Canis lupus familiaris: one gene and its partners. The main gene of each other region encodes a partner of the protein of the gene in region 2 in a complex. Links are inferred from orthologs where the notes say so. Each region holds a gene or a part of one and is shown on either strand. Other genes may lie near its edges.

Region 1 (9,289 bases), about 2.5 Mb from region 2:
AGTGCCGCTGGCGAGTAGCCCCCTCCCACCAGCTGCCCCTGGCCCCAACTGCGTGCACCCAGGCTGGACACCTTCCTGCCCCTTGGATGAGCTCCCGTGTTAAATGCTTCCACCACCCCCAGCCTCTCAGAATCTGTTCCGCAAGATTCAACTCCAAGCAGCAGAACAACATGGGGGGGGGGGTGGGGAGAACGTGCAGGTCTTTGTATAACAGATGCTTAAGTAGCATTTACTAGCTGTGTGACTTCTCTGAGCCTCAGTTCAGTTGTGGGTAAAATGGCAGTAATAATACCCCCACCCACACTCAGCGTTGTTCGGGGAAGGGAATTAAGTGAGATGGTTTATGTAAAATGTTTCATGCAGAGTAGATGTTGGATGGATTTAAGTTCCCACTCTAAGTCGCTTCCTCTTAATACCTAAATGTCCTAGGTTGGGTTCCCCCAGAGACAAGGGCTTAAGTGCAGTTGGTTTATGTGGTCAGTGATGCTGCAAAACACCAACAGAGGATGAGGATCCAGGACAAAGATGGGAAGGAGGTCCACAGAGGTTAGCTACTGAGCCTGGTCCTCGCTGGCCACTCCAGGAGTCAACATAGAGCACATTCCTCAGAGTTATCCCCTCAAGGGGCAAGGGAGCTAAAGTATGTATACACCAGCTCCCAGAAGCCATGGGCTGCTCCTCAGAAGGTGGGGGGTGATCATTCTGGCTTACTGTGTGGATGGTAAAATGATTCTAGGGGCCAGTCCTCAGGCAAAAGGATGCAGGTGCTGGCAGTGGGGAGCTGGGCCAGTGAGCACTGTGATGGTAAGGCGAGGCACTCACAGTGTCCCTATGCTCATGACTCATCTGTGACCTGGGCTCATATCTATTGTTTCATATGTGATCTGTGTTTGTTTCTCCAAGTAGACTGTGAGATTTTCAACAAGAGAACTTTCTGTTATTGGCTCTTTGGCAGGAGAGGCAAAATCTAAAAGCTTGAGACAACTGCTGATCATAAAGATGCTGAAATGTGTGCCAACAGAGAGTGAAAAGAAAGCTAGTAGAGGACAAGATCAATGGGACTGGCAGGCCCAAGGAAAGAGGCTTCAAGGGAGGTGTGAACATGAGTTGAACTTCAAGGGGGATTTGGATCGGGGAGGTCCCGGAGGGCGGGGTGAGCTGCATAGACATTATATTAAGCTAACATTTATCTCATCTGCTATGTGACTGGCATTTTCTATATATGCACTAAACTTTGTCAAGTAGGTATATACCCCCCATTTTGCAAAAGAGAAAACCAAGACTCAGAGAGTTTAAGGGACATGCCCAAGGTCACCTGGATGTAGAGATGGGGATTGAATTCAGGCCTGAGTTGTGGGTTGATGAGGCCTCCGGGGCCAGCCTTGGGGGTACTGAGTAGTCCTTACCTGCTCCCCTAACTGGCCATCCACTTCCTGGAGAAGGTCCGCCAGCCTCTGAATGATCATCTCCTCTACAGAAAATAAAGAACGATTCAGAGGCCATTGACAAGTTCTGCAACAACACACCCTCCCACTACAGACGGTATTTTGTCTCTAAAACACAGTACACAGATGAGTTTTGAAGGGCAAAGAAAAATCTTCTCCAAAACTAGGGCTGGAGCATGAGAGCTTTATTTGAGTTTGTTTATAGGAATTGAAAAGACTTTGGCCAGTCGAGCCTCACCTCAGCTCCATTTTTACAAATGTGGAAACTGAGATCACCCAATGTCTCCTATCCAGGCTATAGAGTAGCATGGTCACGAATGGGAGTTGAGACCAGGAGCAGCTAATTAGAAAGCAGGGAGGGGGAGACGCCACAGCCATGGATGTAACAAGATCGCGTCCACCAGGCGGGGCTGTAAATGGCCACATGCGTTTGTCTGATCCTACCAAGACCCAATGGCAAATATTCTGAATATTTGCAGACCTTTCATCATCAACAGTTGGCAGCTTGAAATCAGCCATGGTGGAGACACTTACACCACGGAAATCTGCAAAAGCTACATATCGGGGCTCCCCCACCACACCCACCCTCATTCTGTTTGCCAGAACACCACTGGTTATGAGACCCAGAGCAAGCCGGGAATTTTATATGAAACATTCGAGCAAACCAGTGGAGCAGGGTGGGTGAATTTACATCCCACAGAAAGACAGGTGTTCTCACCTGCAACTTGGCCCCAGGAGCCCCAGTTGAAAGGCCAAGGCTGCCTCCTCCCCAGCCTGCTAGAGTCTCCTGGGGTGTTTGTCAGTAGCCCTCCCAGACCCTACTCGAAGTCACCCTCTGAGGCCCATGCAAACAGAAACCCCACAGCAGCCGCCCCGGGAGAGAGTAGGGTGGTACTAACTAGATTCGAACACTTCATCTGGCTGTGGTCCCTCCTCTGGCTTATGGCCTCTGGTCTGGGAGGGTGCATCTGAGGGCTTAACAGGTGCCCCTTCGGTGGGCAAGGACTCCCGGAACTCGACGCCGTCCAGATCTGAGGGCAGAAAGGAGATGGTGTGAGCATGTTTTGCACCTGTCTCAAATCCACAAGCATATCCAGGTCCAGGTTCTGACAAGAAGCTGTCCAAAGGCACTGGCCCCAGAGGGGTCCTGCTTCCCTGGGCTCCTCAGGGAGCCCCCAGACCTCCAGCGCCCACCTCAAAGGCATTCACAGAGCCTTCTCTACCCCCTCCAGAAATATTCTTATTTTCTGCCACCAGCCCCCTCTGCCTCCCTCCTCACAATGCAGGAGGAAACAGAGCAGGCCTGTCCACAGATCCCACCAGATGAGCCCACATCCCCTTTGCTCTGTGAGGCTTTGCCAAGTCACTTCCCCTGTGTGAACCTCACTTTCTCCATCTGTCAAATGGAAATACCAAGACTGACTTCACCGGTTATAAGTGGCTTAAGTGAGATAACATGTGGGACAGTAGCATGTAGTGGGCCCTCCATACATGTCAAGGGAATCACTGTATACCTCATGCTTCGGAGGAGTAAAAAAGCAGAGGCCCTGGCCATATCCTACTTCATCACACCCAGGTCTCTGTGGTTTTCTATTAGCTTTCGGGTGAGTCAGATGCACCCAGCTGATGAACCCATGCACTGCTCTCCGACTGCATTTGATTTTAAGTATTTGTGTGTTTGTGGGTGGGGGAAGGGAAGGCTGGCATCGTGGGTGGTGGGTCCAGCTGGCAATCAGCACCCCCTCTCTCGACAGCCCTCCCACACCTCCCCACCTCATTGGAGCAGAGAGCCAGAGAGTGGAATCAAGCTTGAAGCAGAGGTCACACAGCTGGCCTAGCCTGCTCTGAAGGAAGCCCGGGGCCAGAGGCAGCCTCTGTTGCCATGGTGATGCTGGGGCTGCTCACCAAGGCTGCTGGAGGTGGAGGGCTGATGGCCTCCCACACACAGGGGCAGAAAGCTGGGCCTCCTGTGCGGCCGGGACTCTGGGCTGGTGGCACCTGCAGCCCCAGCTCTCTTCTGGTCCTTGGAGCCATGTTTCTTATGTGAAAAGGCTTTTCTGAAGCTGCTCTTTTTCTCATGGGATTTCCTTCTGTAGGGTAGGGACAGGTTTTCTACAGCCACCTCTGGTTCCTGGACTTGAAGCTGCTGTGGGGGAGATGAGGGAAACTGAGTCAGGGCCCCCGACCTTGAGGAGATTGCAAGCAAGCTGGGGAAAGAGACCAGCCCCCCCTGAAACACACAGAGACCCCGTGTAGACCAGAGGGTGCAGGTGCAGCCTGGCCAGCGCGAGTGTGGCCTGAAGCCATGGGGGTCGGGGAAGCTGGCTTCGGGAAGGCGGAAGGCTTGGAGGTGGGCTCTGGAAAGATGGAGAATTGGGGGAGGGGCAGCGAAGTTATTATGGCAGGCAGGGGTGGGGGTGTCCCCAGCAAGGGTTGGGAACGTCGGCCTCACCTTCACTCCCCACTGCTCCTCTGCATCCGGGAGTAGGGCAATGATCTCCTGGATGAATTCTTCTAAAAAAGAACAAAACGGTGGCTTGCACTCGAGGGTAGAGAAAAGCTTATCTATGGTCTGTCCTCACTTCCTAAGGCCCAAGTGGCTCCCTGGGTGAATCTGACCGGTCTCCAGGCTGCTCATGAGCTTGCCCTTGTCCGGTGTCCCAGGCCGGGCCCTGAGGACACCGGTAGATTCCTCAGAAGTGGCCTGAGCAGAGCTGGTGCCCTGGGAATATGTTCATTTCTTCGTTGGTCAGTGAGCGCCTATAGGTGCCACGTTACATGGTGAGCCCCTGCCTCCAGGAGAAGGTGCCTCGAGGCCATTTGGAAAGGCCTGGTCCCCTCGCCCAGCACCGCCCTCCTCTTCTACTTAGAACAGGGGCCTTCTCAATTCCCCTTCAAGGCACATTTTCTGTGAAGAGCAAACAAGCAGGAGGGGTGTGTGGGGGAAGGGGATCTTTAAACCGTCTCCAGACGCACAGAACTGACAGTGATCGTACGACCCCATCCTTGGCCCTGCCGATGGCAAGGAAACAGTAAGCATGCTGGCAGCCGGCCACCTGTTGAACTCCCCCAGAGCCCCTGCCTCTGTCCTTCCCTCTGGACCTCTGCTGAGGCCCTGTCCTCAAGCTGGGCTCCATGGCCACACCAATAACAACAACAAAGGGCAGCTAACATTAATTAGCTCTCGGCAGCTTATTAACTATGCTGAGTGCCCCGGACGCCACACTGCCCCTGCCTGCTGTGCTCGGAGGAAGTCAAGGCCCCGTCACTGTCTCTCTCTGGGTCCGTTTCTCTTCTACATGTAGAAGGGTCGGATCAGATAATTTCCAACAGGCCTCTAAGAAGAGGAGAGGGTACTAACTGAATTCCAAGGCTGTGTTGGTCTGCACGTCCTCTTCTGGTTCCTGACCTCCTGCTTGGGAGGAAAGCTGGAAGGGACTTGGACCCCCACTGTCTGTGGATGCGGCCTCTTGTATGTTATGTTCCTCCAAGCCTGAGAAGCAAGAAGAAAGGGTGGGTGTGTTTCATCAATGTGAAGGTGTTGACTCACATGCAGAAGTTAGCAGAGGTTCCAAAGTTCACTCTGTGGCTAGAATGTGCAAAGGTCTTGATGCAGCAGAGGTGAGCGGTGGGTCAGGGTCAAGGCTTCCGTGCACGGGCCCAGACCTGCCTCCCTTATCCCGCTGTACTTCCTAACAACCAGTTTTCCTGGGCTCTGCCCTCCTCTCCTCCCTCCCCTGATAACCTCATCCCTCCTCCAGCATCTTGGCTTGGAGAAGAAAGGCCTGATTCCGTAGTGTGAATTATCCCAGCAGGGCCAGAAACCCCCTGCATGAGGCCACCTGCCCCTGTGACCTGCAATTCTGCCACTGGGGCTCATATTTGGTGTGAAGCATTGCCCCTCCTTTTTAAAATCTAAATTCCCCCAGCCAGGCCAAGCGGCTGGGCTAGGCTCTTCTTCCCCGCCACCCAGGATGATCCTTTCTCTCTGGCTCAGTTTCCAACACTGGTGGGCCATGTGACCCTGAAACACATTGTTTTACCTCCTCAGGCCTCAGTTCCCTCATCTATAAAATGGGGATAACAATATGGCTATGAACACTGATCGAGTATAGACACGCAGTACGGAAGTATCTTATTTTATAGGTGAGGAGCCTGAGGCAGGCACAGGGATGGCGAATGATGTAGAAAGCGTAGCTCAGAGTTCAGGTGCCCTGCTTCCCAGGCCGTGGTTCCTTCCTGCACATGCTACCCCCTGCCAGGGTAGAGAAGCTGGATGATGGAGAGATGTGAATGGCTAAGGGATCCCTCAACAGTGTCTGCTGTGGGCTTAGCTCGATTGCCTGGGCAGTGAGGTCTCGCGTGTGGAGGTGATCTTTCTCCTCCCACTGCCCTCCCCACACTGCTTGGAGCAGAACAAAAGTCAGAACTGGGATGGCAGCCCTTCAAACGGCCAATTCCAGCCCTGGAGAAGGTTCCAGAACTGGAAGCAGCTGCAGTGTTGCTATGGTGACTCTGAGTCTGCTCACCAGGGCTGCTAGAGGTGGAGGGCTGATGGCCCCCCACACACAGGGGCAGAAAGCTGGGCCTCTTGAGTGGCCGGGACTCTGGGCTGGAGACCTCTCCAGGCCCCGCTCTCTTAGGCTCCTCCGAGCTATGTTTCTTGTGAGAAAAGGCTCTCTTGAAGTTAGACTTTTTCTCTTGGGATTTCTTCCTGACAGCTGGCGCTGGGTTCTGCGACACCAACACCAGCTGAGGAGCTTGAAGCTGCTGTGGGAGAGATGAGGGAAACTGAGTCAGGCCCTGACCTTGAGGAGAGGGAAAGCTCCTCGAGAAGCAACCAAAGAGCAGCCAGGTGCTTCGGGGTGGCCCCAGGTAAGGGAGGTGAGAGAGCCCAGAGCCGGGGAGCACTGAAGCCTGGAAGGGCAGACAGGGTTTGAGCATGGAGGAGGAGGAGGAGAGGGGAGTAGGGACAGGAGGAGGAGGGTTGAGGTCAAGCCGATGGGGGTTTACACAGGCCCTTTGCTCCTTACCTCTTCCTCCCACTGGTCTCCCACTCTTTGGAGAAATTCCACTATCATCTTGATGATTGTATCCTCTGGAAGAAAGTGAATGCACCCAGTTAGTCTTTCCATGTGCATAGAGACCCCTTTCTAATGACTGTCTTGGACTTCTGGGATCAACTTAGTCCTGTATTAAGAGACAGAGCTTTAAAAAAAACGAGAGAGAGAGACAGAGCTCTTAAAACAGGTCCATGGCCCACGGACATGGGGAAAAGCACCGTGTCCCAGGAGCTAATCCTTCTAGAGAGACTCTGGAGAGCCACAGGAAAGGGCAGTAGGCCAAAGCATGCAATTTTAGGCAGGCAATCTCAGGTCAAGCTTCAACCTATACCCCCTATTTCCTTTGGCCTTTACAGATTTGTAAGTACCTGCTTTGGGTTTGGCAAGCTGTATGACCTTGAGTAAATCTCTTAACCTCTCTGGGCCTTCATCTCTCTGTGAAGTGTGAATCGTAATCCCGGTCCCAATTCCCTCAGTTGGCTATCAGGCCATTAAGGAACTGTGCTTGGAAATAATTTAGGAGCCTAATACCAATCTTCCCACCTGCAAAGTTCCAGTGGGGAAAATTGTGGAGGCTCAGCCTAATTAAAGTAGAGAATGGAGAGACTCCAGCAGATGTAACACAGACAGCCTGACAGGTGGACACCTCTAGCACACCAAGTCTTTACGGAGAAACCACAAACAACATAAATGGTTTTCATTGATACCCTCATCAACCGACCCAAAGACGGTATGCTCAGAGTAGCTTCTGCTAGCTGTCACCTGACCGGTTTACATGAAAGAAGGTGTAAACAAGACTCCCCCAGCCCCGGGCTGTCTGCACATTTTGACTCAGTCAACCAGCCAATTTCCTCTCATGTGAAAAAGCCAATTCGAGGGGCACCTGGGTAGCTCAGTGGTTGAGCGTCTGCCTTTGGCTCAGGTCCTGGGATCGAGTGCCACATCAGGCTCCCCATGGGGAGCCTGCTTCTCCCTCTGCCTATGTCTCTGCCTCTCTCTGTGTCTCTCATGAATAGATAAATAAAATCTTAAAAAAACAAAAACAAAACAATTTACGTGTAAAATAAACAGCCTGCAGAATAGCCAACTAGATGCCTTTTAGTTATTGTTTGACAAATGCAGAGATGTTTTATATCTTTTAAAATGTGCCCATTCATTATAGGGAATTAGATTCATAGAGCATTCACTATTGATTTTATTAAGGGCAATAACAGTATTGTGGTTGTGCATGAGACTGTACTCATTTCTTGGAGAGACGTGCTTAAGTATTTAAGGATGAAGGATCATTTTACTGAAAATGGCTCAGCAACAAAATTAAACACACACACACATTTATGAAGCAAATGGTGGCCTACATCAACAATTGTGAATATATGAGTATCTGTAGAACTCTTCCACTCTTCCATATATTTAACAATGTATATACAATCTATACTCTTCTATTCCACACTCCTTCTCTAAATTGAAAAAGACTTTAAAAAGTCTCATGCTCATTAACACATAAGGCAGGAACATTTGCCAGTGGCCGTTCTAATTCCTGAGACTCCCTTCTGTGAAACTCTAAAATAAGTAAATGTGACCAGAAGCCCCAGAAGGAACAAGATCTGTACATGATCTTGAGAGGACCATCCAAGGTCCAAGCAGTCATCCAGAACAATGCATTATAATCATTTGGTATCGGCCACCCCCACTGCAGAGAAAGAGGACACTGTAGATTCTGACTCACTGTCAGTGTTTTTGAGGTCTTCTCCCCACCGGTGACCTGTGGCTTGAGGAGAAATTTCTGCTGCTCCAGGAACCCCATCCTCAATGCACAAGGACTGGGGAAGATCAGAACCTTCCCCACCTGGAAGAAAGATGGAAATAAGTGTATGGGTTGAGGGGAGATCAGGGGGTGTCAGGGACGTTCTTCTGACTTTGCTCACGAACACAATAAAATGACAGAATTTGCAGAGAGACAGACACTGATGTAGCCAGCTCCAGGCTTAACCAAAAACAAAAAATGAGAAACCTGCCAAGGTTTCCATTTCAACCCAGGCATTCCTTCTCCTTATGAAAAACATGGTGAGTTTGGGGTCATCTGGGTAGCTCAGTCAGTTGAGTGTCTGACTCTTGGTTTGGGCTCACGTCATGATTGGAATCAGGTCATGATCTCAGGGTCCTGGGATCATGGGATCGAGCCCTGTGTCAGGCTGCACGCTCAGTGCGAAGTCTGCTTGAGATTCTCTCTCTCTCTCTCTCTTCTTCTGCCCCTCCCTTCACTCATGTATGCTCTCTAAATAAACAAATAAATAAATAAAATCTCAAAAAAAACCCAAAAACCCCATGGTGAGTTTTGAGTGCTCTACCTCCAGGTGCCTATAGTGTATTCAACTCCAGACATAAGAGTCAGAAAAGAAAGGCACCTTGGGGACCAGCTTCCTTGTTTTAGAAATGAGGAATCAAAGGTCCCAGAGAAGGGCCGTAACTTGCCCAAGGTCACAGAGCAAGTTTATTCCTGACACAGCCAAGTGTGGGACTGGCACTGGGCAGCTGGCTCTTTCCACGTCTCTGGCCGCACCCATGGTCCACACAGATGGATCGATGTCTGGGGCAGGGCTCCCCTCCTCACCGCTCTCCCTGCCTTCCCGTTTCTCCCTGGTCTTTGCTCCTTCAACTAGAGTACTTAACAACAACAGCCACCATGTGCGGACCATGGGCCAGCTCCGGGCCACAGCTATCCCAGCGGAGAGCAACTATTACCCCCATTTTATGGATGAAAAGAAAACAGTGGTGGAAATG
Region 2 (10,045 bases):
CAGCAATCTTTGGTAACTCCATTCCATCTCTTCCTCTTTTCCTCACTGTCTGTCTCTCTTTGACACACACACACACACACACACACACACACCGGATTAGACTGAATTAAATCCATATTTTACAAGTGTCTTTGATCAGGGGCCTTTACATCTGAGGTATGTACAACTGGAGTAGGATATGGTGATGGCTTCTTTTAATTAGTGAATGAATTAATTTTATTTTAATGCTACTCAATTGGGTCATAAAAACTTACTTTCAATTCACTGAGTGGTTTGGGCAAAGGAAGAATTTTCTTGTTTGGATGGACACAAAAGGAGGAGGTAAAACAGCAGACACGTGAAGGTAAACTGTGGGGGTGGGGTGGGGAGGCAGGGAGACAAGGGAGGCTCTGGGTACAAGGTAAGGCAGGCTTTATACCCACACTGCACAGCTGAGCAGATGACACCTGGACACGCCTCTCTCCTGGGGCTGTACTGTCCCCGTGCAGTGCCCCCACAGACAGGAATCTAGACCTCTTTGATGGAAAGAAGCTACAATTTCAGAAGAACCAGAATTTTGAGACTTTAACTTCCTTAAAACCCGCAGAATCCATCTGCTCCCCTGCACCCGCAGGACCTCTGCCTTTCTCTGTGCCTCCCAACTTCTCACGTCTCGCTTCCGGCAGCCCCGGAATGCGCTGAGATTTCGGTTTTGGAAACTTCATCCAGGCAGGGCAAAGGGCGGAGTGGTGGGGGTCCGGGTAGACTCAGGCCAAACATTTTGGGGCTCCCCACGCCTTCAGGAGGAAGTTCCAACTCTTCCCTTACAGGGACAGAGAAAGCCACAGCCCCTGCCGCTGCCCGCCCGCCTTCCTTCTAGCGCTAGAAACGCCCTCAAGCGGTTCTCAAAACCCCGCGGGGCCGGCGGGGCAGGTGCACCTGAGGCCCCGCCCACCAGAGGGCACGCTGGCGTGCTTGGGGCGGCAGCGGCCATCTTGGATCCTGGCAGCCCGCCCACCTTCGCGGTCTCCGCCTTCCTGGGGCGGTGGCGCCGCGGCTGCGAGCGGGTGCACGGAGAGGCGAGTCGCCACCCGGCCTCTCTTGAGGCTTGGCGGTCTTGTGCTGGAGACCGACGGCCTCGTCCCCACCTGGCCGGCCTCTACGTAAAACTTCGAGCCAGTATCGAGGGGGCAAGTGCCGGCTCCTGCCCCTTCTACCTGGTGACTCTGGGCAGGTACCTCAGTTTCCTTTATCTGTAAAGTTGGAGTTTAAGCCTCAGCCTCACCTCCCAACCCCTCAGGTCACTGATTCTAATACTTACTGATTGGGCGTGTATGATAAATTCTCAGCACATGGCCTGGCATGGAGTGTGTTCCCTGTAGGTCGTCTAGGAGCTTTTCCTGCAGATTGCAGGGTGCCTTGTAGCCACCACTGTTGGGGGGGGATCTCCACGAGGGAAGTGTGTAGTGGACTTTGGTAAGACCCGAGTCCAAAGGGAGAGGGGACTGCAAGATGCCCTCAAGCAGTGAAGGTGAAGCCCCTAAGCCCTTTAGGACTTGCATGTGACCATTTTGGAAGGGTGTCAGAAACACAGACCGGGATGCCCAGGACTGGAAAGACTTAGTAGGAACATTTGAACGCCCCCGTGCTTGTTATTTTTATCACCCCTCGTTGCCTTCCCATAGGGACTGGGATGCAGCACAAAATTCCTGGAACAAAAAGCCCTGTGTGTGTGTGTGTGTGTGTTTACGTGTGCTAGTTGTGGGGGACATGGGGAATAGGGGACTGAGACACTGTGTCCCAGGGAGAGCCAGGTGTGAGGGAGAAGGGTCTATTGGGCCAGGATGGATAGTGGCCCCGGGGAGCGGCATTAAAATCAGGCCTGGCGGAGGCCTCTAGGAGTCCCCAGACATGCAACTGCCCTACCAGGTCCACAGACAGAGCCCAGCACCCTAATTTCCTAAGGGGTGGGAAACTTGCCTGGGACACAAGAGATGAGGGAGGTGCCTGGGGAGGGACCAAGGCCTTGTAGGGAGCTAGGGCCTGGGAGAATCATACCCAGCCTTCTACAGGTTTGTGGAGGCCTAATAATGAGCTCTAATTCAGTAATAACCCGGGTGAATGCCAGGCATGCCTGGGTTCTCCTAGTCCAGCCTGGTGGAGTGAGGGGTAGCAGGGGATACAGAAATTAGCATATGGAATCAGGGGATTACAGTTTATTTTCAGACACACTCAGAGGGTGGGGGCTGGTCAGCGGGCTCCATCTGCATCCGCTCCCTGCATTTGGCTTAATCATGAACTTCTCTCTCCTTTCCCCCAGACCTGTAGGCTGTGCAAGATAGACAAGGTATTTCCACCCCCACTCACAGAAGGGGCTTAGGCAGGTGAGGAGTGTGAAAAGTGGGGGGTTGGGGGGTCGAGTTCAAGTATTCAGTTTTTCCATCCACACCCCCAGATTACACTGTGCCCAGGCCACAAGGGAGGATCCCAACCCTGGGGTTCCTAGGGACATTAACAGCCCTTTTCTCACTCAGAAACCTCCAGATGAGCTCCTTACCCTCTTTCCCTGACAATAGCAAACCAGTTCTAAACTCTACAGTCTGGGCAAGAAGGGGACCTCAGCACTCCACTTATCCAAGACCCCTCCTTCCTTGTTTGAAGTGATAGGGCCAGGGTGGGCTTCACTTGTAGTGAATAGGTCGGGTTTAAATGGTAATAGGTGAGAGGAAGGAAGAACACTGAGGATCTCAGGAGGCAGACTTAGGGGGTGCTGATGAAGTTGTGACAGCTCTGGTCTGCACCCCCATGCCATCCTCATCCCACCCAGACCCAGAATCCCTGAGAGTCTGCTGCAAAGGCAGTATGAGGTGGGGGCAGTGGGAGAGCAGGGGGGAGAGCTTAGGAAGTGCCAGGACTGGGCTCCAGGCCCAGTAGTCATGCTCTGGCCTTCTAGAACAGCTGAGTCCTACGGAATATAGAGTGGCCTACTAACCCCCCACACCTCAGACATCCTGGCTTAGACAGAGTGGTGGGTATGGTGGGGAGGGTCCTTCCAAGGGCATTATAAAAAAGCTATAACTGTTAAAAATTTGGGGGAAAGTGACTCTCAGCCTCTTGCTTCCCCAAGTTGTCAGTCTCCCCAGTACCCAAAGATAGGGTGGAGAGAGCCCCAGAGAGCTGAGGAAGAAGGATACAGCCTGTCTCTGACAGGATGGGGCCCAGAGAGGGGACCCATTAGCACCATGCAATGTTGGGGCACCCCTGGCAGCCTGACTGACCCTGGGCAGGGACCCTCTCAAACTGGAGTGCACACTTGCTAAAGCTTCTGTAATCTTGAGGAGGGCCCCTGCTGGGGAGGGGGTGAGGGAGAAGGCTTGGCTGAAGTCCAGGCAGAGGTGTCAGCTAGGACCCAAAGGGCCCCTCTGGGAGTCATGATTTGAAGAATCTTCGTACCACAAACTGGCCCAACAGAACCACAGACAGCACTATCAGCACGTTCAGGATGGGGCCGTTTCCCAAGTTCAGGGCTGCCACCTGCCAGGAGAGACAGAGTGGTCACAGTGGGGCTGACAGAAAATATAGGCACTCCAGGGCTGGGGCAGAGCTGGGAGAGAGAGGTGTCCCAGTAGCAGGGAGGAGGTAGCCAGTGCTTGGGCACCTACCCAGCCACCCCTCTGCGCGATCCACCGGGCAATGCAATGATGCAGCATGAAGTCGGCCACGAAGCGGGTCACCTGGCCCAGGAAGCCGGTCAGGCCGCGTTGGTAGACATGCAGGGCCAGGCGGTAGCCAAAGCCCAGGAGAGCCACCACTCGGCCCCAGTTGATGCCGCTCTCAAATAGGCTGCAGACAGAATGGTGATACTGTCAGTGGAGACCCCCGGAGGGCCCGTGGCCTGCTCTTCCTCTCCCACCATCTGGTACCCACCCGCCCTGCTCCCAGCTGGAAAGCAAAATGGCTTAGCTGTAATCAGGGTGGCAGAGGCTGCCCCAGCCTGGCCTGAGTTTGGGAAGAGCCTGCATCTCTGTGAAAGGAGAAAAACTCAGAGGGCAGAGGAGCAGGGCGCTGCTGCTGGATTGTGGCCCCAGTGCCGTGGGGAGCATAGAGGGGCAGAGAGCAGGGAGGGCAGAGCAAGCAGACGGAGGCAGCGGGGAGATTACCTGTGGGTGTTGCTGCTGGCCTGGCAGCCCGAGAGACAGCAGAGAGAGAAGGACAAAGAGGAAGTTAGGATAGGTCCTGGAATCCGAGAGGGGCAGGTGTGGCTTCGAAGGACGGGGCATGATGTTCCAGCTCTGAGCACTAACCCTAAATCTATTGCCTACCCCTACCTTCACCGCAGCGTCAGTCACCTTGAGGCTGACTCCTAACCCAGATCTCACAATAGATGACACCAGTAAGTACAGCCACTGTTCTAAGCCTACTTCCTCTATTTTATAGACACGGTGTCTGAGGGCCAGAGGGTTTCACAAAGCCCGTAAGTGGCAAAGCCGAGATTTGACCCAGGCATGTGGTCAACTACAGCAGACTGCCTCTCAGACACCAGATGGTAGTAAAGGGGAAGTCATTTCCAGGACACAAGCAGCCTGTCTTTGGTAGGGAATATGATTCCAAACTGGAAGGATAGCTGTGTCTCGGCGAGGCTGGGAAGCTCTGGGGACATCCTGATCCTGGGCACCTCTCGAGTCCTGATCTATCCCGTCAAGTCCTCGGTGCCTCAGCTCACAGAAGCTGTGAGCTTATACACTGAAGATGACGAGTCTGGGCCCAGAGAGAGAGAGAGACAGGGGCCCAACACCATGCGTGAGCTAACAGCAGGTACGGGAATGGCACAGGTGTCTCTTGACACTGACAGAGAAGCGTGTCTCTTCCAACCCATGGGCAGGACACCGTGTGAAGGCGACAGCACAGTAGAGAGGCCAGGGCTGGGGCTACCTCGAGGCAATCTTGGTGAAGTACTCATAGGCATTCTCTGCTGTCGGCTGTAGGTGCTGCAGCATGGCCTGGAACTCCGAGTCATAGCGCTGGTTGATGTCGTCCCCAATGATAGCGAGCTGCCGACCCACCTGCCCCATGGTGCTGGAGGAATGGGAGCCAGGTAGGTGAGCACAGGGCAGGCAAGGCTGGGGCCTGGGCTCACGGAGAAGGGGTTCCACCTAAGATGCCTCCGGCCTCGTGGACCCCTCCTTGGAGATTCCTAACCGTGTTCTCAGGCCCAGCCTGGGGTCATGGGGCACACATGCTGCCATGAAGGGCGCAAGGTCCCACATGGAGGTGGAAGCCCAAATGAAAAAGGCAATGATGGCAGAAGGACAGGAACCCCCGGACCCCCACCCAAGGCCTCCCCAGCTCCCCGACCTGCAGGGCATTGACCCCATACGAGCCTCCATCTCCCCGAAGATGTCCCAGAGGGCCCGGGGGGCTGTTGCTCACCTGCTAGGTTCTAGGGGCAAGGTGACCATTTCTGGGTCAGCTGGCACAGCCGCCCCCTCAGCCTCCTGCTCCTGCCGATGGCGGTAAAAAACATAGCTGCGGAAAACCTCCTCGGTGTCCCGGGCTACCTGCTCCTCTAAGGATCAAAGCCAGGAGTCAGGGAGGAAGGGCTGGACCAGGCAGCCCCGTGCTCTGTGGATGGGTCACCCTTCCTGAAGGCCCCAGCCGGCCTCTCCTGTGTCTTCCACGGAGGACAGTGCTAGCTGCTCCAGCCCTTCGTTAACAGCTAGCGATTTCTGTTTGGGATGAGCCTCCCAACAGCCTTGCAAAGTAGGTGAGCACCAGTGTACAGATGGGGAAGATGAGGCCTGCGGTGTTACATACCTGCACGAGGTCACACAGAGCGAGCCACGGAGTAACCAGGGCCTAACCCAGGCATGTGGGATTTTTAGTGTGAGCTTAGTGTGCAATGGTACCTGGCCCTATGGCTCAGAGAGTATGGAAGGCGAAATTTGAAATTGTAGCTTTTGGGCCCAGAAAAGTCACGCAGGGACATAGTGACCGAGCGGAGCCCTGAGCCCGACACCCAGAGAGCAGTCTGTAGTGGTCTGGGGATGGCAGGCTTCCCTGATGGTCCCCTTGGAAGAGGGAAGAAGGGCAGCCATTGTACTTCCTCCCCAAAGTCGTAACACTAACAATTGCTTTCGCCAGTTAGCACGCCTGACAGGGTGATAAGCCTAGGAACTTCCTTCTTTCTCTTACTGTAGGAATAGGAGAGCCACACCCCACTCTTCTCACCTCTCCTCACCCCTCCCTGCTCCTTTTTCCTTAGGATGGTGCTGTGTCCCACCTCACACTCACTCTGGGGGCTCTCCTAGCCCCTGCCCCCCCACGCCCCACCCTGCCCCCAGGCCCAGACTCTTCCCCACTCCCAGGGATTAACCTGGACTGTACTCCAGCTTCTGAGGCCACCCACACCCACCTGCACTGGGTGGGGAGATGCTTTTCTCCTTTATCCCAGGTGAGTGAATAGAGGGCAGGAGAGCCTGCCTATAAGTCCTGCCTGGCCCTGTCCACTTCTGCTCTCACCATCCTCTCCGACAGCCCTGGTGGTTATGGGATGGGTGAGGGGCAGAGAGACCCTTACCAGAAGTAGAAGACGGGGCAGCCTCTCCACACTCCCGCCTGGGAGGCCCTGGGCCTTGCCCGGATGCCATTTCTCAGGTCCCAGTGGAGGACTGGGTCAGCCTGTGGGGATGGGTGAGAAAAAGCAGAGATGGAGACGGGCTGGGGCTGTTGCAAGACATTCCCACAGCCCCACAGCCACAGAGAAAGGAGGAGGGGCCCCCACTCCTAGAAGACCCCATGGCCCTAGCTGTAGCCGCCTCTCATTTCACCACCTTGGGTCCCTGTGGAGTCTGCTGGCAGAATCAGAACTTCCTGAGCATTTCACTAGCAGTCCTTCAAGAGAGGGAGAAAGGCAGGGCAGTCAGGACTCACATCTAGGGACCCGGAGCCTGCAGCCAGGACCCTGGGGAGGGGTGAGAGCAGCAGTGCCCTTGTGGCTCTCAAGTCATAATTCACCTCACTCCTGGGCAAATGAGGGGAGTTTTAGAGGCCGAGGGTTCTTTCTGTTGCTCCTGGGGCCTCTTGCACCCTACCTAGCACATGCTTACCACAGGATTGCCACCTTCTAGCCAATGACCCATGAAGGCTGTGCTTGAAGGGCCCACTTCCCCTTGGCCAGCCAGAGCATGCCTGATTTCCAACTCAGGCCTGTTAGCCACGAACATTTCCTGAGCACCTTCGCCTTACTTACTTCTCCCACTCCTCCAGGGGTGCCAGACACTGAAAATGTACATCCACTCAGCAAGGTAAGCATCAGCAGACCCATTCTACAGGGGGTGAAGTGAGGGACCAAGAAGTTAGGGAGGGGCCCAAGGGAGTCAGGTCGGTAATGGGAACCTCCAGGAGCTCATACCTTCAATTCTAACTTAAGATTGATTTTCCAGTTTGTGGGCCTCAGGGGGTACCCTTTCAAGGCGAGGAGACCTGTGTACAGCCCACCGGTGCTCTCCCCATTCCTGCCTGCAGTGAGCTAAGGAAGCCTTCTCTGCGGCTGCCCCCCGCCCACCCCACAGGTCACCTACCACATACCTGCTCCTGCTCTCCTGTCCCCAGCCCCGTTTTCCTCTTTGCTCAGTGCTGGCCACAGCCCTGATCTGCTCTGTGAACCCTCGGCCAAGGGAGTGTTTCCTGGACGTGAGCTGTTTCACTTTCAATTTGCACCCCTTCATAGCCAACTCCCCCCCCCCCCCCAGGCTGCCTCTGTCAGCCTTTTGGGGAAGTGCTCCTCCTCCCACCCCTGGGGAAGGTGTAGTCCAACCCTGGGCCAAGCACTGCCACCTCCTCCTCCCCTCTTGGAGGACCTGAGAGCACCCTCCCCGCCTACCTCCTGCCTCTCAGGCCTGGGGCCATTTTTGAAAGTGCCCCAAGGCAGGGGTTCTCAGGAAGGGGTGTGGAGGGCTCTCCGCCCCAGCATTTACTGGGGGCAGGGGTAGGGAGAAGGTAGGGCCTCCCCTCCTCCAGCCCTGGGAGCCAGTGCAGATTGCTTGGCACACCCCCACCCCTGCTGCTCCTTCCGGAACAGGATGCCCTTCCCTCTCCCCTGTCCCCAAACAAAAGTGGCACCCCGAGGACACCCCGGCAGGAGGATGCTGACTGCACAACCAACTCCAACTGCCCCTAGCCCAGGGTCTCACTGCTGGGAAGTAGGAGGGGTGTCAGAGCAGCCCCCAGGGCCAGAGGCCTGTGCCATCCTGCCCTCATCCAAAGGCCTGACTTCCTGGTAAGGGGAGTCCAGTGCTCTCCACTTGCTAGGCCTAGATGTTCCCTAGGGGGAGATGCCTGCTTGGGAGGCTCCTGGGGCAGAAAGAAGCATCATGTGAGTTCTCTCCCTGCCCTTGACCTTGGCTCTGACCTCTGATTCCCAACTCCACCTCCAGCCCCCACTGCAAAAGGACCCGGTTCTTTGGTGCCCAGAGCCAGGGCAGGTTCGGGGGTGGGCAGGTGGGGGGGCAAACTGTCTGAGGGGCAGCCAGAGGGAGCCCTGCCTGGATCGGCCCCAGCAGGGGTTGGCTGCCCAGGCAAGCCTCCAGACCTACCCTCCCCCCCACCCCCCCCATCCCCACCCCAACCTGGCTGCCTGCAGACTCCTGGGTCTGGGGCTGCTGAACGCTGCGAGGATGGGCAAGACCCTCCTACCTTACCTGCCCGACTCTAGCCCAGGCCTGGGATGGCTCACAGGGCCGAGGCCAAAGATCCTGAGAGGCCAGCAGCTGTTCCCCGGGGGCTGGGTGCCCAGGCCCAGCTTCCAGGAACAGGCGTCAGGAGAGTCCTGGAGTCTGGACGCAGCCTCAGCCTGTCACGGCGTGGCCCTAGTGCTGCGGTGATCCTAGAGGTGCCGGCTGCTCCGGCTCCGATCAGCTCCCCCTAGAGGAAGCTGCTGTGTGGCCGCCGGATGCGGATGCTGAGCCCGTGGCTTGGGGGTCGGTCTAGGCTCTCACGTGGGGGAGGCGCTCCACCCCCCACACTTGGCCCCGGTCAGGCAGTGTGGCTTCCCCTCTCCCACTCCTGATGCCCAGTCCCGGCCTTTGATCTTCACCCCCTTTCATCAAACAGTACCAATAAAAAAGCCAGGATGGCAGAGTTTCTTAAGCACCACAGTGTGCCTTGCACTTTAGCGAGGGACACTTATCCCTCTGAATCTTTTCAGTAACCCCTGGAAGTAGGTTCTGTCCACTACACCTGTTTTACAGATGAACAAACTGAGACTCAGCGGGTTTAAGGAACTCCCTAGGTCACTAAGCTGGATTTATAATCAAGTCTGTGGATGCCGTGGGGAATAATACCACTAAATTGAGATTCCACGTGCAATTGAGATGTGTACCCAAGGCACCTTGGTGGTCTCCAGAGATTCAAAATCCTGAAGGTGACAGACAGGTAGACAGAGATGAAAACAGGGGTGTCTGGGTACCACCTGGGCACGTGCCAGTGGATGCTGCAAGGAGAGAAGAGAGGAAGGACAGATAGCTGTAGGGACTGGTTCTCAAGGGCAGGGGCAGCCCCGACCAGGGAAGGACAAGCCAGGTAGAGAGGGGTGTGTACAGAGGCCCCAAGAGCCCCTGCCCCCTTCTCCGTCCAGGTACCTCCAGCTTCCTCTACCGGCCCCCCCACCCCCCATGCCTCCTGGAGCCTACCCCAAATCCACTGCCTCATACCTCCTTCCCCTGCCTCATGACTCTTCCCTCTCTGCCCCCAGCTAATCCCCCCTACCATGTCTTCCTCCCAGCCTCCCCATCCCCCCCACCCTCCATCTGACCTTTGCCTTCTAGAACTCCTGGAAGTTTCCAACTGGAGGTTTTAATTTGGAAACTCCTCCTGTTCTTAAGCAGTTGGTGGAGGTGGCTGCTACGGCCCCTCCCTTGGAGTCAGGGTCCCTCAGGATGGAGACCCCAGCTTCAACCCCTCAATCCCGAATTTTGGGCCGCTCCTCCATGTTCCGCTTTTTCCGTAGCCTGGTGGGGAGCAAGGGCAGCCTAAAGAGCTCTGACAAGGGCCTGATGGGGAGTCAGGC
Region 3 (10,052 bases), about 2.6 Mb from region 2:
ACATGTTGGAGGTTTTTTACTTTTTCATGTTGAAGGGTTCCCTCTGGTATATGGTGATTTTTATCTGTTCATATTTTAGGAGTGAAGTCCTAAAAGCTGATCAGAGGCCCCAAATGTGTGTTTGAGTCGTGGCAATTGAAGAGTTTTCCTTTGGGGAGCCCCAGATGTCAGTGTCTTTGGCTTTTTTTCTGACATGGCTCAGTTTTTCCTGAGAATAAAGTTTTTACCTTTTATTTTTTGCTAGAGAGTAGAACTTGGCTGCAAAGTTCTACAAGCAGGAGAAGCGGACTGGGTGTCTTATTTTCAGTTTCAGACTTAATTCCTCTTTTTTTTTTTAAGATTTTATTTATTTATTCATGAGAGACAGAGAAAAGGCAGAGACACAGGCAGAGACATAGGCAGAGGGAGAAGCAGGCACCACCCAGGTACCCCTTATTTCTTCTTTTTTCAGTGAGATATCTCACTCTCTGATCTATGCCTCATGCTGCCACATCTAGAACTCATCTGGTTTACTTTCTCCAGAGGTGACATTTCCTGTCTCCTGTGAAAGTAAAAGCAGTAGCCTGATATTATCAGGTAGAATGGGGATGTGAGGATCTGTCTGCTTATTAAACAGATTTTTAAACAAATCTCCCTTTTCTGCATTACACTTCTCCCATTTTTCACTCTAGCTTCCTTCCTGCACTTTACCTACTTACAGTTTGTGAGTCTTTTCTAGGGTTCCTCAGGGTGACCTGCCTTGCTTCTCCTTGGTTTCTCCTCTAACCACTTCAGCTTGACCTTCCTTGAGTCTGCTAAGTGCTTCACCATCCTCGATCCATTTTTCATTTTCGTGTATTGTGGTTTGGGGTGACTACCAGTTCAATAAAGATGAAATCTGTTTTCTCTTTTTCCTCCTTGTTATTTTTAAGAAAAGTGGTATGGGGAAGTTCTCAGCTATCTTGAATTGAAAGGCTCCACTGTTTTTATTTTTAGTTCTTCAAGTCCCATGAAGTCTTTACTGCCTTTGGGCTTTTGCATGTGGTACTCTAGCTCTCTGAGACTTTCTTTTTCCCTCTCTCCTCTTCCCTCTTGGCCAATTCCAAGTCATCTTTTAGATCATAGCTTAAACATCATTCCTAGATGAGTCCTGTCTGACGACCCAGACTAGGTTAGTCCACTCCCTATATTTTCATATCACCTACCATGATTCTAATTAAGTGTATATATCTGCCTCCCCTGCTAGATTGTTACCTCCATGAGGGAAGGGAGTATTTCTGTCTTGATGACTGCTATATCCCCAGTGGGTAGCCCTAGCATTTAGTAGGGCTAAATATATATATTTCATTGTTGATCAACATATATTACTCATTATAAAGATTTTTAGCTAGGGGCACCAGGCTGGCTCAGTCCATAGAACATGTGACTCTTGATCTTGGAATTGTGAGTTCAATCAAGCCCCATGTTGGGTGTAGAGATTACTTTTAAAAAAGTAGCTGGATTTACAGTTGCTACCACCAATAAGTTATTTAGAGTTTAACAATCTTAGTTACAGTGATTGTCTAGTTATTATTATAGAAACACTATCAAATGGACTCTTGTCCATCTCCAAACTTATTTTACACGAACGCTTTTAAGATGATAATGTACTGATAGTAATATCCATTCAGATGAGCATAGTGTATAAGTTTTCTATTTCTCATTTTGCCACATAAGGTAAAATATCCACACATCCAATTAGGATGTGAACATCTTTGGGGGGACCATTATTAAGTCTAGCACACAAGACAGTAAAATGTAAATGCATACATGAATTAGTTATTGCAAGAAATGATAAGAACTTTGTTCATATATAAACTTTATATCAGAACAACTTCCAGAGTAGGTGACATAATTTATTTATTTATTTATTTATTTTTAAAAGATTTATTTATGATAGACAGAGAGAGAGAGAGAAGCAGAGACACAGGCAGAGGGAGAAGCAGGCTCCATCCCGGGAGCCTGACGTGGGATTCGATCCCGGGTCTCCAGGATCGTGCCCCGGGCCAAAGGCAGGCGCTAAACCGCTGCGCCACCCAGGGATCCCGATGACATAATTTATTAAGTGAAAAATATCATAAATATATATTGAAAGAAGACAAGCATAAACCAAAGATTATTAAATAGACAACATACATCATCAGCTCAGTAGTTGCCTTGCTTCCATGTGCATATCCACTATAATGCTTTCATGAAACCTGGGATTTCCTGCTGTTTTCAGGTACACACACCGTTTCCTAAAGGCAATTATATAATTATACAAACAACTATATATAACAGCATAGTGCTTTTCTTACATATGTCTAAAAATAAATTTTAGATGAAAAATATAATTAGCAATGATTTTTTTTCAATAAATACCTCTTAATATCCTGCAAAATTCCCAAAAAGTTTCCCAAAAAGTTTGGGAAAAATTATAAAACAACCTATTTGGGAAAAACCAATTCTAACATTCTCAATTGTTTATTTTAAACATTATATGGTCTCATTCATTTGGGGAATATAAAAATTAGTGAAAGGGAATAAAGGGAAAGGAGAGAAAATGAGTGAAAATATCAGTGAGGGTGACAAAACATGAGAGACACCTAACTCTGGGAAATGAACAAGGGGTAGTGGAAGGGGAGGTGGGCGGGGGGTTGGGGTGACTGGGTGATGGGCACTGAGGGGGGCACTTGGCGGGATGAGCACTGGGTGTTATGCTATATGTTGGCAAATTGAACTCCAATAAAAAAAATTAAAAAAATAAAAGACCATGGTTAGATATTTTATTCTGTTATCTAGCAATGTCATATGAGTACATAGTATAAGATGACAATGGGCTTATGGGAGGCTATCAGTTGGCTCTTTCAGATAGGAACCTCATTCTGGGGGTGCCTGAGTGGCTCAGTCGGTTAAGCAGTTGAGCATCTGCCTTTGGCTCAGGTTGTGATCCTGGTGGGTTCTGGGATCAAGCTGAGCCTGGCATAAGGCTCTCTTCTCAGTGGGGAGCCTGCTTCTCCTTCTCCGGTTGCCTCTCCCCTCTCATGCTCTCTCTCTCTCTCAAATAAATAAATAAAATCTTAAAAAAAGAGAAGAACCTCACTCTGTAACTGTATCTTGACTGTCAACTTTGACTATTTACTAATACTTAATATTAGTAAACTAATATTTAATATTTAATAATTCTATTCAGGGCTAATTTGGCTGTGATGCATTACCTAGAGAGCATGTCCTTTTTTGCAATGTAAAGTTTACTTGAGAAATCAAATTAGGATCAGAAGGTTGCCTGATGCATATAGTTAAAATGTCAAGCTGTTAAAATAGGTGAAGGGGATTAAGAAGCACAAATTTTCAGTGATAAAATAAAGAAGTCACAGGGATTTAAAAAAGAAAACAAAACAACTATCAAGCTGCCCAAGGTACCAAAAATCAAAAATGCCCAGGCACTCACAACCCTTCAACCCACAGCTCCCCTTTCCCTAATCTGGCTCAAATTATAAAAATCAAAATATTCATGTAGCATTCTGCATTGGAAAATGTAGTATATTTGAAAAATAATGAGTCAGAATTCTACTTGCTGATTCCCACCCCCTCTTGGTTTGCAAGATAACTGCTTATTACTTTTCTCTCAGTCATTTCTTTTTAGTTCTTGTTTCTTTGTCTAAAGCTGCAATGCAGCCACTAGCCACGTGTAGCTACTGAGTACCGGAAATGTGGCTGAGTCCAAATTGAGATGTATTGTAAGTGTAAAAGACATACTGGATTTTGAAGACGTACATTAACAAGAATGTAAGATATTTCATTAATAATTTTTTATACTGATTACTTATTAGAATGATAATATCTGGATTTATTTTGGGATATATTTGGGTAAATAAAATATATCATTAAAATTACTTTTACATGATTCTTTTTACTTGCTTAGTGTAGCTGCTAGAAACCTTAAAATTACATATCTGAGTCACAAATTTGTATTGGGTAGCACTGATCTAAGACTCCTGAAGTTTTCTCCTGTTACTTTTTTTTGTTGTTCTTTATTGTCTGACTGCTCTTAACCATTCCTTCCCTTTCAGTAACTGCTTAGATTTAGAAGGTAAACTAGAAAGTGAAACTCTGTGGCCAACCTTTAAGTCAAGAGAATTAAAGGCACTGGTAAACAATGAAAAGTCTCAGTTCAATTCTTCAATGTATTGGGTTGGTGCTACAGTATTAGAAAAAGGTGGGACAGGAGAATAGTCTTCATTAGTGTTTGTAGAGATGGACTTTGTGTATGTGGAGACATAAAGAGATAATACAAAATCATACATACACAAGGAAGTAGGACAAAAATGTATTTCATCTCCAACCCTCCCCATCTCTATGATTTTAATCTATTTTCTTTTTGGTGATGTTAATACGTCTGCCTTTTTCTATGCATACTTATTTAGACTGCTCTGTTGGTAGAACGTGGCTATTGAAGAAAAACTGCTTGGAGATGAGGATGTGGGGTGGTGTTGCAGATCTAAAGACCAACAGCATAGGTCTTAAAGATGTTTATCTAAGTTGAAAAAAGACCTTAATTACCCTGTTCCATTTTCCACTCTAAACCATAACCCTTAGATATGTAGAATAAAGGCTGCTTGTATTGTGAGAACACCAATATTCATCAAACATACTGAATATATACTGATGGGGGAAATTCTCTGAAGATATATTTTTCAACAGGGAAAAAACATGAAGAAAAAACATGATACCATTGTTTGTGAACCTAAAGAACTTCTGAATCCCTCTCCCAAAGTAACAAATTGTTGCAAATCCCTGTGGGTGAAATACAGTTTTCAGAAGGAGTACATGACCCGACTTGTCAGCTCCCAGCCAGTTTCAGCCATGTCAAGGAACCCAGGTAAGATATTATTTGTGTTAAGCTAAGATAAATATTCTATCTAGCACATATTTTGCTTGGTATTGAGGACATAAAATTGGGCCTTAAATAGATTATTTAAACATTAACTGTAAGAAGATAGTGGTAAATCTATTCATCAATGTTCTTCGGTGGTAAAAATCTAAAGCTGACTTTGCCTCATGATACTAAATCTCTTAGTGTCTATTAGCTCTGAATTGTTGATGTGACAACTCATTCAGATGACCCCAAATTAACTAAAATAGATCATATTTGTCTTTTAATACAAATTCGTCTTTAACTTGACCTGACAATGTCCATGTTAAGTAGGGAAAATACACTTTAGGTTCCTCTTTGATTTTGCCAATATAGGAAAGAACATGAAGGAAAGATAAGCTTGAATTATTGTTTTACAAAAATTTGCACGCTTACTAAATGTCCCTGAATGTTGGAAAATTAAAGCCTTATGTTGTGAAGGATATTAGGATCAGGTGTTAAATTTATGTTTTTTTTTCTTAGACTTTTAGATTAAGAATATGCTAAACACCTGAGAGGAATAATCAAAGCTAATTTCAGACTATTCTCCATTTTAAAAAGAAGTATAAGCCACTGAGAAAGTGGCAATTTCAGGCATCCTGATAGTCTCTTGCCACCATATCAAATAGGGTAGCTATCTTCTAGAAAGACCCGAATTGACTGAAATACTGAATTTTGGTATGTGCAGGTGTCAACAATGATTGCCTAAAGCCTGAGACTGTCACCTGTGAATACCTTCTAGAACATGTTTGAGATGTAACCCCGTACACCATAAAGTTTAACCTCTTAAAGGGCAGAATCCAGTGGTTTTCAGCATATTCATAAGGCTGCGCAATCGCAATCACTGTTCTGGAACTAATGTTGTAAACTTTTCCTGGTACGTTTTCACACTCAGCGAAACCATTGGATCCTCACAGATTCCTCCTCGGGCCCCTTCCGAGGTGCCCCATGGGAGGCTGGTCCAAATGCTTTCCTAATTAGTCTCGCCTCAAACGCAGAAGCAGGGTGAAAACCAAAGCCCCTCCGCTTGATGTACGGGGTGACCGCCAACAACCAGTCGACGTGTTTGTTTTCGCTCTGTATGTAAAGCCTTACTCGGGACTGGTCTTTTTTTTTTTTTTTTTTTTTAAGATTTTATTTACTAATTCATGAGAGAGAGAGAGAGAGAGAGAGGCAGAGACACAGGCAGAGGGAGAAGCAGGCTCCTCGCAGGGAGCCCGACGCGGGACTCGATCCGGGTCTCCAGGATCGCGCCCCGGGCCGAGGGCGGCGCCGACCCGCTGGGCCCCCCGGGCGGGCCAGCGGCGAGCGTCCAGGGGCTGGGATCCGGCACGAGCCTCCCGCTTCTTTCCCACCCGCTTCCCGGCCCAGGAGGCTGCCGCGCGCTTCTCCCTTTGCCTTTGGGGGGCATGTAGGTGCGCGCAGACTGAGGGCGGCGCTGTGAGAGGGCCGCGGAGGTGTCCGGACGGCGTCAGGAGCGCCGAGCCGCAGGGTGAGGGGAGGCGCCGGCCGGAGCCCTGCGGACACGCAGCCCACGTCTCCCGCTCGCCGCCAGGGGCCCGGAGAGCGCGCGGGCCGCCGGGAGCGCGGTGCGCGCCCCTCATTGGCCACAGCGGGTCCACGTGACCTGGCTCGCAGCGCCGCGGGAGAGCGCGGCTGGGCCACCGCCATTTGCAGGGGCTGGTGGGGTCGCGGGAGGTCGCTCCGAGGGCCTGCGGAAGCTGTCTCGCTGGGAACCTTAACAAGAACGAGAACAAAAGAACCAAAAAACGCCTTAAGTACTGCTCAACGTAAAACCCCTATGAGGAAGCTGATTCTGGAAAGGTCTCCTTTCCCCCTCTTTTGGCTTTTGGACACAGACTGGAAGTGGAAATCACCAGTCGTTATGCAGTGTGAAGCCCACATCTGTTTCTCTTGTTACTTTTGGGAAATAGACACGTTTGAACGTTGAACTCCTCGGAGAAAGAAAACAATTATTTAAAAAAGATTTTATTTATGAGAGACACAGAGAGAGGCAGGCTCCCTGCAGGGAGCCCAACATGGGGCTCGCTCCCGAGTCCCCAGGATCACACCCTGGGCCGAAGGCCAGCGCCAAGCCGCTGAGCCACCCAGGGGTCCCCAAGGAAGCAATTTTTGTGAGGGGAACTTAACCACTTTTTCTTGGAAAAGTTGAGGGGATGCGGAGGATCTTGGGAAGTCCAGGGCATCCCCTCTGGGCATCCCCTCCCCTTGGGAGGTCCTGATAAGTCATTTAAGGGAAATGAGAAACTCTTGGGGAAACAATTAGTAAAAACAAAATAGGGCTTTTCCACTTATAAAAAGTGCAATAATTACTGGTAGGGGAGGGCAGCATGACGTAAGTGTGTGTCTAGGTATAAATGAGATAAGTGGATTGTATAAGTCTAGTCCAGTTATTCAGCCTCTTTCTCCTTTGAGAGTGCTTGGGTGCTCATTTTTGCTTCTCCTAAGTCTCATCAACTCCCTCTTCCTCTAGGTGGACGCATTTTCTTATTTTATTCATTCAAAAAAAAAAATTGCTAGGGCCTACTGAATTCCAGATGCCATGCTACATACTGGGATGACAGTGATGAACAAAAACATTAACAGTGCCTTCCACCCCGGAGCGTACTGTGTGGTAAAGGAGGCAGATAGTAGTCAATTAAACATAGTAATGTTCAATATGATGGGATTAGTGCTAAGAAGAGGTCCAGGTGCTATAATGGGTCTTTGACCTAGCAGAGAGATTAGAGAAGGCTTCGCTCAAGATGTAACCCAGGCCTGAGAACCTGAAGGAGTTAAGGACAGTGGGAGTTGCAGGCGGAGGGAGCAGCTTGGCCAAGGGAGAGCTGATAGCCTCTCCCCTTCCAGTGACTGCCCCTCTCACTCCTTTCCACCACATATAAATTAATCTTGCTTCCAAGTTATCAAAGACACTTTTATCATTCAATTGTTAAGTTCTTAGGGAGTGACTCATAACCTATAATTATTGTTATAGACAATGTATGTACAGTAGGTAAGTATACACTATACACATCTAGGGATGCCTAGGTGGCTCAGTGGTTCAGCATCTGCCTTCAGTTTAGGGCCTGATACTAGAGTTCCCTGATAGAATCCCACCCACAACAGGTTCCCCTCAGGGACCCTGCTTCTCTCTCTGCCTGTGTCTCTGCCTCTCTCTCTGTATCTCTCATGAATAAATAAAATCTTAAAAATCAATATATGCGTCTAATATACATTATCATCTCTTGTTTTATATAATAAAAACATGCAATGATTATAACCATTTAGAATATGCTATATCTCAACAGAACTAAAAGCACTACAGGAATTCAAAGTGGTAAGAGAACACAGTCTTTTGGAAGATTCAAAAAATACATCTTGAGAAAGTAATTTTTGAGATGTGATTCAAAGGTAAGATTTGGTCAAACAGGATAAGAAGGCTGGATGGATGAATTGAGATGTGATCTAAGCGCCTTGAAAACCAGTCCAAAGAGTTTATAGAAACTAAATAGAAATGTTTTATTTCACTTTTAAGGACTTTCCTGAGATATTTTTTCCTTTCCAGTGTTTACCTTGGAAAATTTAAAATCTACAAAAGAGTTGCATAAATAAGTCTATGGTTAGTCATATACCTTTTACATGGATTTACCATTTTTGGGGGGGAGGTGGCACATTTACTTTATCTTTTTATCTCTCTCTACATTCACACATACTCGTGAATGGATGTACAGATGTTTTTCTTTGCTACAAAGAGAGTTAGATAAAGTAGATATACTAACTTCATCTCTAAATAATTCTATCTCTAAATTTATCTCCCAAGAACAAAGATTTTTCTGCATAACCGCAGTACAATTATGACATTCATGAGGTATTTTTTATTTTTTTATTTTTTAAAGATTTTTAAAAATGTATTCATGAGAGACGCAGAGAGAAAGAGAGAGAGAGAGAGATAGGGAGAGATAGGCAGAGACACAGGCAGAGGAAGAAACAGGCTCCTCACAGGGAGCCTGATGCAGAACTTGATCCCGGGACTCCAGGATCATGCCCTGAGCTGAAGGCAGACACTTAACTGCTGAGCCACGCAGGCATCCCTGAGATATTTTTTAAATTAAAATTTGAGTATTCACATTAACATATCAATAATAAATGAGTTACTAATTTTAAATAGCATGCAACAATGACTGAGACATTAAGTGCTATACAAGTGTTTGCTTATAAAAACACATTTTCATGAGTGGAAAACCAAAGAATATGAAAATTTTGGCATATGGTGAAAAGTCTTACATTCTTGTTCCCTGTCTGTTCAGTTGCCACTCTCAGCACTTCTTATTATAGGCAACCATTGTTCTTGATTTTGGGACATTCTTCTAGAGGTTCTTTATGTAAATATGAATAATTGTGAGTATAGATTTTTATACTCCCTTTTTAGAGAAAAGGTAGCATACAAAGCACATTGTCTTTGTTTTCTCACTTAACAATATGATTTGGAGATCTTTCTGCATTAATACAGTGTTATTTACAAGGCATAATATTCCATTGTGTGAATATAACATAATTTATTTAAATAGTTTACTCTTGATATACATTTCGGTTGTTTCCAATCATTTACTATTGACACGAATGCTACAATAAATAATCTTTTTTTTTTTTTTAAGGAATCCAACTTGGTTTCCTTTTTTTTTTTTTAAAATTTTATTTATTTATGATAGTCACAGAGAGAGAGAGAGAGGCAGAGACATAGGCAGAGAGAAGCAGGCTCCATGCACCGGGAGCCTGATGTGGGATTCGATCCCGGGTCTCCAGGATCGCGCCCCGGGCCAAAGGCAGGTGCCAAACCACTGCGCCACCCAGGGATCCCTACAACAAATAATCTTGAACATATTTGCATTTGTAAAATTTGACAGATACATTGCCCCCTACAGAAGTTGTTCCAGTTTCATTCCCATCAACTGTGGGAGTATCTTCAGGCTTTTGATAAAGTTGTATGCCAAGAGGCAATAATATGTGAATGTGAATTATTGTTGATGTTGTACAAGTTTAAATGAAATATTTGTCTTCAAGAGAAACTAAAAGGTAGGGCTGTTCTTAGATAAACTTATAGAATAGCCAATGTTTTTTCGTCTAACCCTATGTTCTGTCC

The links.
Region 1: the proteins of BAK1 (region 2) and BNIP5 are in contact, whole or in part, in a crystal structure (PDB 8IGC), measured with the Homo sapiens proteins. The link is inferred for Canis lupus familiaris from reciprocal best matches to the Homo sapiens genes BAK1 and BNIP5. Residues at the interface, in NP_001179.1 of Homo sapiens: Leu78, Ile81, Gly82, Ile85, Tyr89, Glu92, Phe93, Met96, His99, Leu100, Tyr110, Lys113, Ile114, Ser117, Leu118, Ser121, Asn124, Trp125, Gly126, Arg127, Val129, Ala130, Phe134, Ala180, Leu183; in NP_001010903.3 of Homo sapiens: Ile246, Ile247, Gln248, Met249, Ile250, Val251, Leu253, Leu254, Lys255, Arg256, Val257, Gly258, Asp259, Gln260, Trp261, Glu262, Glu264, Gln265, Ser266.
Region 3: the proteins of BAK1 (region 2) and PXT1 are in contact, whole or in part, in a crystal structure (PDB 8GSV), measured with the Homo sapiens proteins. The link is inferred for Canis lupus familiaris from reciprocal best matches to the Homo sapiens genes BAK1 and PXT1. Residues at the interface, in NP_001179.1 of Homo sapiens: Ile81, Gly82, Asp84, Ile85, Asn86, Arg88, Tyr89, Glu92, Phe93, Met96, Leu97, His99, Leu100, Tyr110, Lys113, Ile114, Ser117, Leu118, Glu120, Ser121, Asn124, Trp125, Gly126, Arg127, Val129, Ala130, Phe134, Asn182; in NP_694535.2 of Homo sapiens: Ile78, Ile79, His80, Lys81, Leu82, Ala83, Met84, Gln85, Leu86, Arg87, His88, Ile89, Gly90, Asp91, Asn92, Ile93, Asp94, Arg96, Met97.

The regions. Positions count from the first base shown.
Region 1 is NC_049233.1:5,611,765-5,621,053, forward strand, and holds part of BNIP5 (protein BNIP5), read right to left. Parts: intron 8,355-9,289; coding exon 8,235-8,354; intron 6,544-8,234; coding exon 6,479-6,543; intron 6,216-6,478; coding exon 5,975-6,215; intron 4,939-5,974; coding exon 4,807-4,938; intron 3,960-4,806; coding exon 3,898-3,959; intron 3,592-3,897; coding exon 3,351-3,591; intron 2,477-3,350; coding exon 2,345-2,476; intron 1,472-2,344; coding exon 1,407-1,471; intron 1-1,406.
Region 2 is NC_049233.1:3,126,354-3,136,398, forward strand, and holds BAK1 (bcl-2 homologous antagonist/killer), read right to left. Parts: upstream 6,638-10,045; 5' UTR 6,627-6,637; coding exon 6,557-6,626; intron 5,546-6,556; coding exon 5,410-5,545; intron 5,075-5,409; coding exon of another isoform or gene 5,056-5,074; coding exon 4,912-5,055; intron 3,823-4,911; coding exon 3,642-3,822; intron 3,514-3,641; coding exon 3,409-3,513; 3' UTR 3,399-3,408; downstream 1-3,398. Other genes in the region: gametogenetin-binding protein 1-like, read left to right, coding at 9,915-10,045. UniProt on the Homo sapiens protein: Plays a role in the mitochondrial apoptotic process. Upon arrival of cell death signals, promotes mitochondrial outer membrane (MOM) permeabilization by oligomerizing to form pores within the MOM.
Region 3 is NC_049233.1:5,706,561-5,716,612, reverse strand, and holds the start of PXT1 (peroxisomal testis-specific protein 1), read left to right. Parts: upstream 1-3,649; 5' UTR 3,650-3,786; intron 3,787-4,701; 5' UTR 4,702-4,710; coding exon 4,711-4,879; intron 4,880-10,052.